Nothobranchius furzeri: one gene and its partner. Each later gene encodes a partner of the first gene's protein in a complex. Links are inferred from orthologs where the notes say so. Each region holds a gene or a part of one and is shown on either strand. Other genes may lie near its edges.

Region 1 (3,824 bases):
CTGCTTCCTTCATATCCATTCATCACACGTTGACAGGTTTTTATATTTTAACGTCTGTCTGTCTGACTCGTCTCTGCAGAGTACCGCCAACGGCTCGCCACAGGAGGAACAGCCAAAAAAGGTTTGCACATTTTCAAAATAAAACAACTTGTATTTTATTTGAAATCAAGTTGTTTTAAGATGTAAAAAAACTGATTTAGAGTGTTTGTTGTTTTTGTTTGCTTTAGAAGTCGGTGTGGACAGAACACAAATCACTAGATAGGAAGACCTATTATTACAATACGGAGACCAAGCAGTCCACATGGGAGAAGCCGGATGAACTCAAGTCTCCTGCAGAGGTACGATTGCCCTGCACAACACCTGGATTTGCCTCTTTATCTGTGTACTTATAATTAGGAATAAAGACAATTACATGTATTATAAATGTACCAGATTCAGTAGATGGTGTATTCTAACTTGCAGTTGAAGTGCGATTTCCTTATATATATATTTTTTGCTTTTGTAGCAATTACTGTCCAAGTGTCCTTGGAAGGAGTACAAGTCCGACACTGGGAAGCCTTATTATTACAACTCTCAGACAAAAGAGTCCAGGTGGACCAAGCCCAAAGAGCTGGAGGATCTGGAAGGTAAAGAAAAGGACCAGCCTTCTAACGTGAGCCATGCACTCCTATTGCTGCCATGTTCAGCAAATGATTTGATGCGTAGATGAGTTCTGGAAGCTTCTTGAGTGCATTTCTTTATAACGAGCTTTAAGATGAAAGCCGAAAGCCTTGTTTAACTCTTTTTGTGTGTCTATTCCAGCTATGATCAAAGCAGAGGAGAATGGGTAGGAACTCTTATTTATTTACCTTATTTCTAACAGCATGATTATTCTGACACTGGTTTTGATCATTTGGGTTTGATTGCAGAACAACAGAGACGGTGGTTCCTGGAACGACAGCAGCTCCTGCAGTTCAAGCTGAGACTACAGCCTCTATGGCGACAGTGATGGAGGTGGAAACTGCAGCAGCAACAGCAGCCGTCTCGGAGGAGCCGCCGTCCCAGGTGACAGTGAATCAAACAGCTGAGGTCAAGGCTGTTGATGCACCTGTGACGTCCTCGGAGAGCGCCGTCGTCACAGAAAGCACAGCCAGGTAAACAGCTATGGGTCAGATTTGAAAGTTTACTTTTTCAGAAAAACGTAGAGGAAATGTTGCAGGAGTTTTCTGAACTGTAGCTTTTACAGATGCATGGAAATGGAGGTGAATTATCAGAACGTTGCAAAGGTTAACGAACGGAGCACACGGAGGTCGGCAGCTTTATTCTAGTATAATGACTGAACTTTGAACTGTGGGAGATGAGTGATGGCCTCTCTCGCTGCTCTGGTTATGGTCCTGCTGTTCTTCTATTTTTATCTTAAAGATAATGTTTTTGCATTTTTGATGCTTTGATCGTCTCAAATTTGTCACAGGCTTGTGTTGTCTTTTTTCACTTGCCAGTGTTCTATTTGACAAGAAATTTGAATTTAGTTTTTTTTGACTAAACTCTTTTTAAAACTATTATTATATTTGACATTCTTTCACGTTCTCTCCCAGCCATGAACATAAATTGTTCAACTGTTACCTTTAATGGGGGCTTGTTCAAACAGTGGGTGGCTCCGGACACTGATTGGTTCTCTTCTCAGGTCCCGCCTCTTCCATTTGCTGAGTAGCCCTCGTGTCCGTTCCTCACATCTTTCTCGTCTTCTGATTGGATTTCCGTCTCTGTCACTTTTCATCTTTCTTTGTTTTTGAAAATGTCAGATCCATTTCATTTTCGTTTTTGAGTTTTTTTTTTCTTTGTGCATTTCATTTTTGTCCACAGAAATCTGTGATTAAAAAAAGGTGAAATTTGCATTAACACAATTAACCCTGTGTGAAGCAGGTTAAGATGCAGACGGGGTTTAATCAGCTCTTGCAAGCTAACAAAATCAGACCACGGCTGTGTCCAAATTCAGGGGTTGCATCCAATGAGTACCTGTCCTCATTGGTCTCAGCAGAACGTGTTCTTCCAGGTCCAGTTAGACCGGATGTTAACAGCTGTGAATTTGGATAGTCTAGCCTCAAATAATAGTCCCGCCCCTACTAGGACGGATGTCCTCCTGTCACCTAGCAACTGCTACCGCACTAAGTAGAAGCTGCATAAGTGGAGATTGCAAATGTTAAACTTTTTCCTTGTTTTGTTACTGTTTGAAGAGTTACAGCAGAGGTACCGCCAGTGTTCTGAGAAAATAATATGTTTCCCCTAATAACTTGGGCAAATAAAGAACTAATATTTCCAAATTCACAGGACTTAATGTTCATTATGAGGCCTAAACAACCTCAAATAGAAGATGGTTAAACTGAGTTAGATTACATCCTTTTACATAACTTTCAAAAATGATAAACTTGCTGGAAAAGGGTGAACAACAATGTTTTTACTGTACTTTTATATTGTTTTTAGGAGGAAATATAAATAAAAAATATCACAAGCATGACATCATTACATTACATACTTTTTCTGTACAAGTCGATCATAAGTGGTGGGAAGAGGGCTTGAAGTGAGACTTCCCAACACGAGGGAACAGATTTCAGGGGAACAGAATTTCTTACAACACCTGTCCTGCTGTGCATTTTATGATGAGACTACACCGCACCTGTTCTCAAAATCAGGGAAAAGGAGAATGGATTTTAAGGCCACATTCTGAGCACTCTGAATTTGGAAAGTATTCGTCGCGGCGCGGTGACGTTACTGGTCTTAGGCCTAGTCCACACGTAGCCGGGTTTTAAAAAAAACGAATATCCGCCCCTCCAAAAAATTGCATCCACATCACCTCGTTTAAAAAAAAAAATGTCCACACGTACCCGGATAAATACGTTGTTAAGGACATGCCAGACCTGTAGGTGGCAGTACTTCCCCCGTTCTTAACCTCGTCCTTCGTCTGTGGTCTTCCGCAAGGAGCAGTAATTCCGCTTGCAACAACAAACAAGCAAAAAGCGCTTGGACAATTGATAAAGCGAGCGCAGCTCTGAGGGCATCCGTGCTGTCGGCTAGTGTAAACACAGGTCGCACACGTGATGTCAGCAATTTTTTGTCGTGGAAAGTGACGTTGCGGACCTTAAAACTCCGGTTTTGTCTGTCCACACGCAGACACCCAAAACGGAGAAAACGCAGATCTTCACTTTGACCGAAGTTTTTAAAAAGATCCATTTTCGTGTGGATGACAGGCCAAAACGTAGAAAAATATCTACGTTTTGGCAGATCCCCGGCTACGTGTGGACAGGGCCTCAGTCCTGATCATCAGGGGCCACTGCCCTGCACATGTTTTAGCTGCTCCTCTGCCTTAACACACCTGATTTAAAGATTGATGGCCTTCATTAGCCTGTTAATCACCCACTGATTCATACCAGGTGTGTTGTTGCAGGTAAACATAGACGGCATGCATGGCATGGTGGTGAGGACTAGGATTGGATACACCAAGCTAGTTTAGCTTCCTTTCTGCTGTCACATAAACAGAAACAACACATGAGATGGAAATTAGCAGCACTTACTGATAATCCAATCTGAGTAAAACATGAAATTTTACTTTGGATGCAAGAAAGTTAAAAGTATCTAAATAACGGCTGACTAGTTGCACAAGTTTAATGCAGTGGCCTTGTTTGGCCAGTACAGGTGCTGGCCAGTAAATTAGAATATCATCAAAAGGTTGAAAATATTTCAGTAATTCCATTCAAAACGTGAAACTTGTACATTATATTCATGCAATGCACACAGACCAATGTATTTCCGATGTTTATTACGTTTAATTTTGATATTTATAGGTGACA
Region 2 (3,824 bases), on another chromosome or scaffold:
TAACATGACAGGACTGCTTCCGCTCCCATTGTTTTGGTTGGCGTGTGCTTTCCTGCGTTCTTTACCAGTTGTGACAAAAGCCATTTTCCCAATTAATAGAAATAGTTTGGACATTGTTTTCCTTTCAACTTTGTACTTAGGCATTTGACACCAGTCAGCGGTAGGGCTGGGGGAAAACGATTATTTTTAAAACGATTATTCTAACGTAGGGCTGGGCGATATGGACCAAAACTTATATCTCGATATCTTTAAGCTGAATTCCGATATACGATATATATCTCGATATTTTTCCTCCTGTAAACTGTTGACAAGTTAACTCACTTCAAGCTCTTGAGAAATTATATACATAAATCAGTAGGTTAAATGCATAAAAATGTATTGATTCTGGTCAAACTTTAACCGTAGTGCCTATTCTCTACCAGTCTGAGCTTTAGTAACACAGGTACAGATGTCTGCTAACACACACACACACACACACACACACACACACACACACAGTTGAGAGCCAGAGGTGTATCAAATGTCCCACAGGCACTTTTTAATTATATATTTATAATTAATGTGAAATTATTTAAATTTCATCTAGAGGTGGCCCATATTGTATAGATCTTGTCCAGAGAAAAAAAATCCATCATGTTAAGCTAAATGTACGATGATGTAATTGCATCTACTGAAGATCACATGGGTCATGCACCATGGAGTTATTAGTTATTAGAAAAACTAGTTATTAACTAGTCGTTAGTTATTAGTTAGCAGTGTTGGCTCATATCAGCGATTATACTGTAATGATTCAGAGTCTCTGGTTGCTTTTATGAGTGTTATTTTCGGGCTACTGTCGCCATAACCCACACCTTACAAACTCAACTTTTTCATCAGAGTCACTCGTAACGGAGTATTTACTAGCATAGCAAACCAGAACGGAAAAAAACGGAACCGGAACAACATTTCTCACCCGTTGAGTTCGCCTTCAAAATAAAACGGTAACCCTATAGTTTACTATTCAAACCCTTAAATATGTTTCAGGTCATTTGGCCACTCCGGCTTTCCGTAGCCGTTTCCTCATTACACAGGGGAGGGAGGGGTTTGGCTCGTCTCTCTGCACAAGCAGGATGGAAAACCGTTGGCATTGAACGTCCCCAAATAATTAAAAACCAGGAGGCCAAATGCAAAGTTTAGAGCAGCACATTTACCCAGAGGCTCTCAGACTGAGCAAACTTGTGAGAATATACGTAATGGCTGCTTAGAGACGGAGCAACATGTCGCTAGCATAGCGGCTAATCGCTAGCATAGCAGTTTGGCCAGTTATATCGATATAAAGATATAGTCATCTTATATCTTGTTTAAAAATTATACCGATATTTAAAGAATATCGATATATCGCCCAGCCCTATTCTGACGATTATTTTATCAAATAGTCGACTATTCTAATGAGTATTTAGAAAATTAGTCTAATGATTATTTTTCTATTGCACAATTAACAAAAACCAGAAAATCTCAAATAAATTCCTCAAAAACATTGATCAATTGTTACTGTAAGAGAATAAACACTACAGGCCTTCCATTTTGTACAACACTGCTTTTATTGTGTTGGTTGGTTATGTTCTGGTGACGTGTAGATCTTGGGAGTGCAGGCTGCTGCCTGAGAGGTGGTTGGAGACGGAGTGTCTCCATGCTGCTTTGTTTTGGTCACTTATGTGCGTGAGGCGAGTGGTGTTACGACCCTTCCTGGGGAGTTTGGCTCGTGTGCAAAAAGGAAGGGACAATAACGGGATTTAAAAGTTAAAATGATGATCAGGTTTGTTTACAACTACAAAAAAACATAAATCTTTCCATCCGCAGGTTGGGAATAATAAAACTAATTCTGCCTGTGTGGAATTAAAACAAAAGTACAAATAAGTGGGGATGTCCCACTGGGCAAAGATTACAGGGTTCTGGACCAAAATAAGGATCTCCAAAGGTCCAACTCTAAACTGGGCGGTGAAACCAAACTCAAGGTGATATTTTAAACTAAACCGAAAACCCACAACACTCTAAATGTAATAAAAGGGAGATCTGCACCACAAAAAAGATGAACTCTAAACCAAAACGTAACAGCTTATCCAAACGCAAGAAGCTGTTAGCGAAGATGCTAACAGTAGCTTTACCAACGTTAAGTTCAAGTCACCAAGTTTAAATAAACCAAAAACACCCAGCAGCAAACAGACCAGCACGGAGGAGAGACTGCTACCACCAGCACAGCTCTCCTAATGTCTGAAAGAAGCTCCTTTATGAAGGGAGAAACGCTCCCGGTGATTTTCTACATCTGCGGTAGAGACGAAGCAGCGCATCTGACCCCGGAAGTTGTTGTCCGTTGCCGGGAGACGAAGGCGGGCAAAACAGGAAAATAATCTAGTTGTGGACGGACATTGTTCCAGGTCTTCGGTATTTGGCGGAGATGTTAGTGAAGGCGGAGAAGAGGGCGAACTAGAGGAGGAAAAACAGGCAGATTCCACAAACTCCTGGGGATGCAACAAGTGGGCGCGGTGCATCGACTTCCGGATCTGACGTCGACAAATTTTTAGAATCGAGCCGTCGACGTCGTCGAGGCTTCGCTACTGCCCTAGCCAGAGGCTACATCAGATAGCATCTTCTTTTCTCTGACATTTGATGTAGAATTTGAATAACGCTTCTCATAAAGGGGTAAAGTAAAATTCATGGGTTAATTTTTCTTGTTTAGATTTCGGCCAGAAGAAAACTAGGAAGAGGAGTCGATGGAGCAGTGAGACCCCTGATCAGAAGACTGTTATACCGGGGATGCCCACTGTTATTCCCCCTGGACTCACGCGAGATCAGGAGAGGGCGTATATAGGTAAATGATGTTCGTCTTTACCAAAGTTTACCATGTCAGTTACTGGATGTTACTGTTTTGTTGAAGGTTCTAGTTTTCTCTTATGGTACCAGCATCTAGGCTATTTCCTTTTTCCTGAATTCCCAACAGTTTGAGCTTTCTAAGGCAATGCTAATTCAAAGTCAGATAAAGTTCTTTTCACTGTTCTTCTTGCTAAAAGGTGGAAATGTCTTATTTTGCTCCAACTGTTGAGACAAAATAATCATTCTTACTAAGCAATATAATAATAATAATGCTGTTGTGAGGTTTCTGTTCATTTCCCTTTGAGTGTTTCTGCTGTTTTGTAGTCCCCCAGTTTGCATACCATTGGGCAGCCATTAACAAGAGTTGGTGATAGTTGATCAAACGTCTGTTTGCTGAAAACCGCCACGCTGCCGCTCGTTCAACACATCCTCATTACTCTGCGTGGTAGAGGATAATTGGCCTGAATGTGGGCAATGCTGCTTCAGTTGGGTTTACACAGATTCTTCCTGTTGCAGAAGAGAACCAATGCTAAAATAATTAGACTAGTAGAATATAGACCAATATCAAACTTTATTCATAAAAGACTAAGATTTGTATCTTTTAGGCAGGACCGACAGCATTACAGCTGCTGACCCAAAAAAAACCCACAGATTTTTGGGTTAGGGCCGTTTGAGGTGGACCTAGATATGAAATTGAACCAATGGAAAATAATTCAGTTTCACATTGAAACCTGTAGGTAACAGAAACTGTTTAGATTAGTCTGTTTTTGGGGGCCGAAGAACAAACAAAATCTCAACTCACCAATAAGCCACTAATCCGAGGTTGCACAGAGTTTATCGTTGCCTCTTCCCAGAAAGAAGAGGGATCTAGTCTTCTAGAAGCAGTATTGCTCAAACATCCTCTTTTAAAGGAAATAATTGCCTTTAACTAGTCTCTCATTGGTAATGGTTGCTTTTCCTTGGTATGTAAACAT

Evidence for each region.
Region 2: the proteins of prpf40a (region 1) and sf1 are in contact, whole or in part, in an NMR structure (PDB 8PXX), measured with the Homo sapiens proteins. The link is inferred for Nothobranchius furzeri from reciprocal best matches to the Homo sapiens genes PRPF40A and SF1. Residues at the interface, in NP_001352526.1 of Homo sapiens: His164, Ser166, Tyr172, Tyr174, Ser181, Thr182, Trp183, Tyr213, Tyr215, Ser222, Arg223, Trp224; in NP_004621.2 of Homo sapiens: Pro575, Pro576, Leu577, Pro578, Pro579, Gly580, Ala581, Pro582, Pro586, Pro587, Pro588, Pro589, Pro590.

Annotation. Positions count from the first base shown.
Region 1 is NC_091754.1:18,349,426-18,353,249, reverse strand, and holds part of prpf40a (pre-mRNA-processing factor 40 homolog A), read left to right. Parts: intron 1-79; coding exon 80-121; intron 122-227; coding exon 228-338; intron 339-505; coding exon 506-626; intron 627-801; coding exon 802-826; intron 827-908; coding exon 909-1,133; intron 1,134-3,824.
Region 2 is NC_091743.1:88,302,317-88,306,140, reverse strand, and holds part of sf1 (splicing factor 1), read left to right. Parts: intron 1-2,716; coding exon 2,717-2,848; intron 2,849-3,824. UniProt on the Homo sapiens protein: Necessary for the ATP-dependent first step of spliceosome assembly. Binds to the intron branch point sequence (BPS) 5'-UACUAAC-3' of the pre-mRNA. May act as transcription repressor.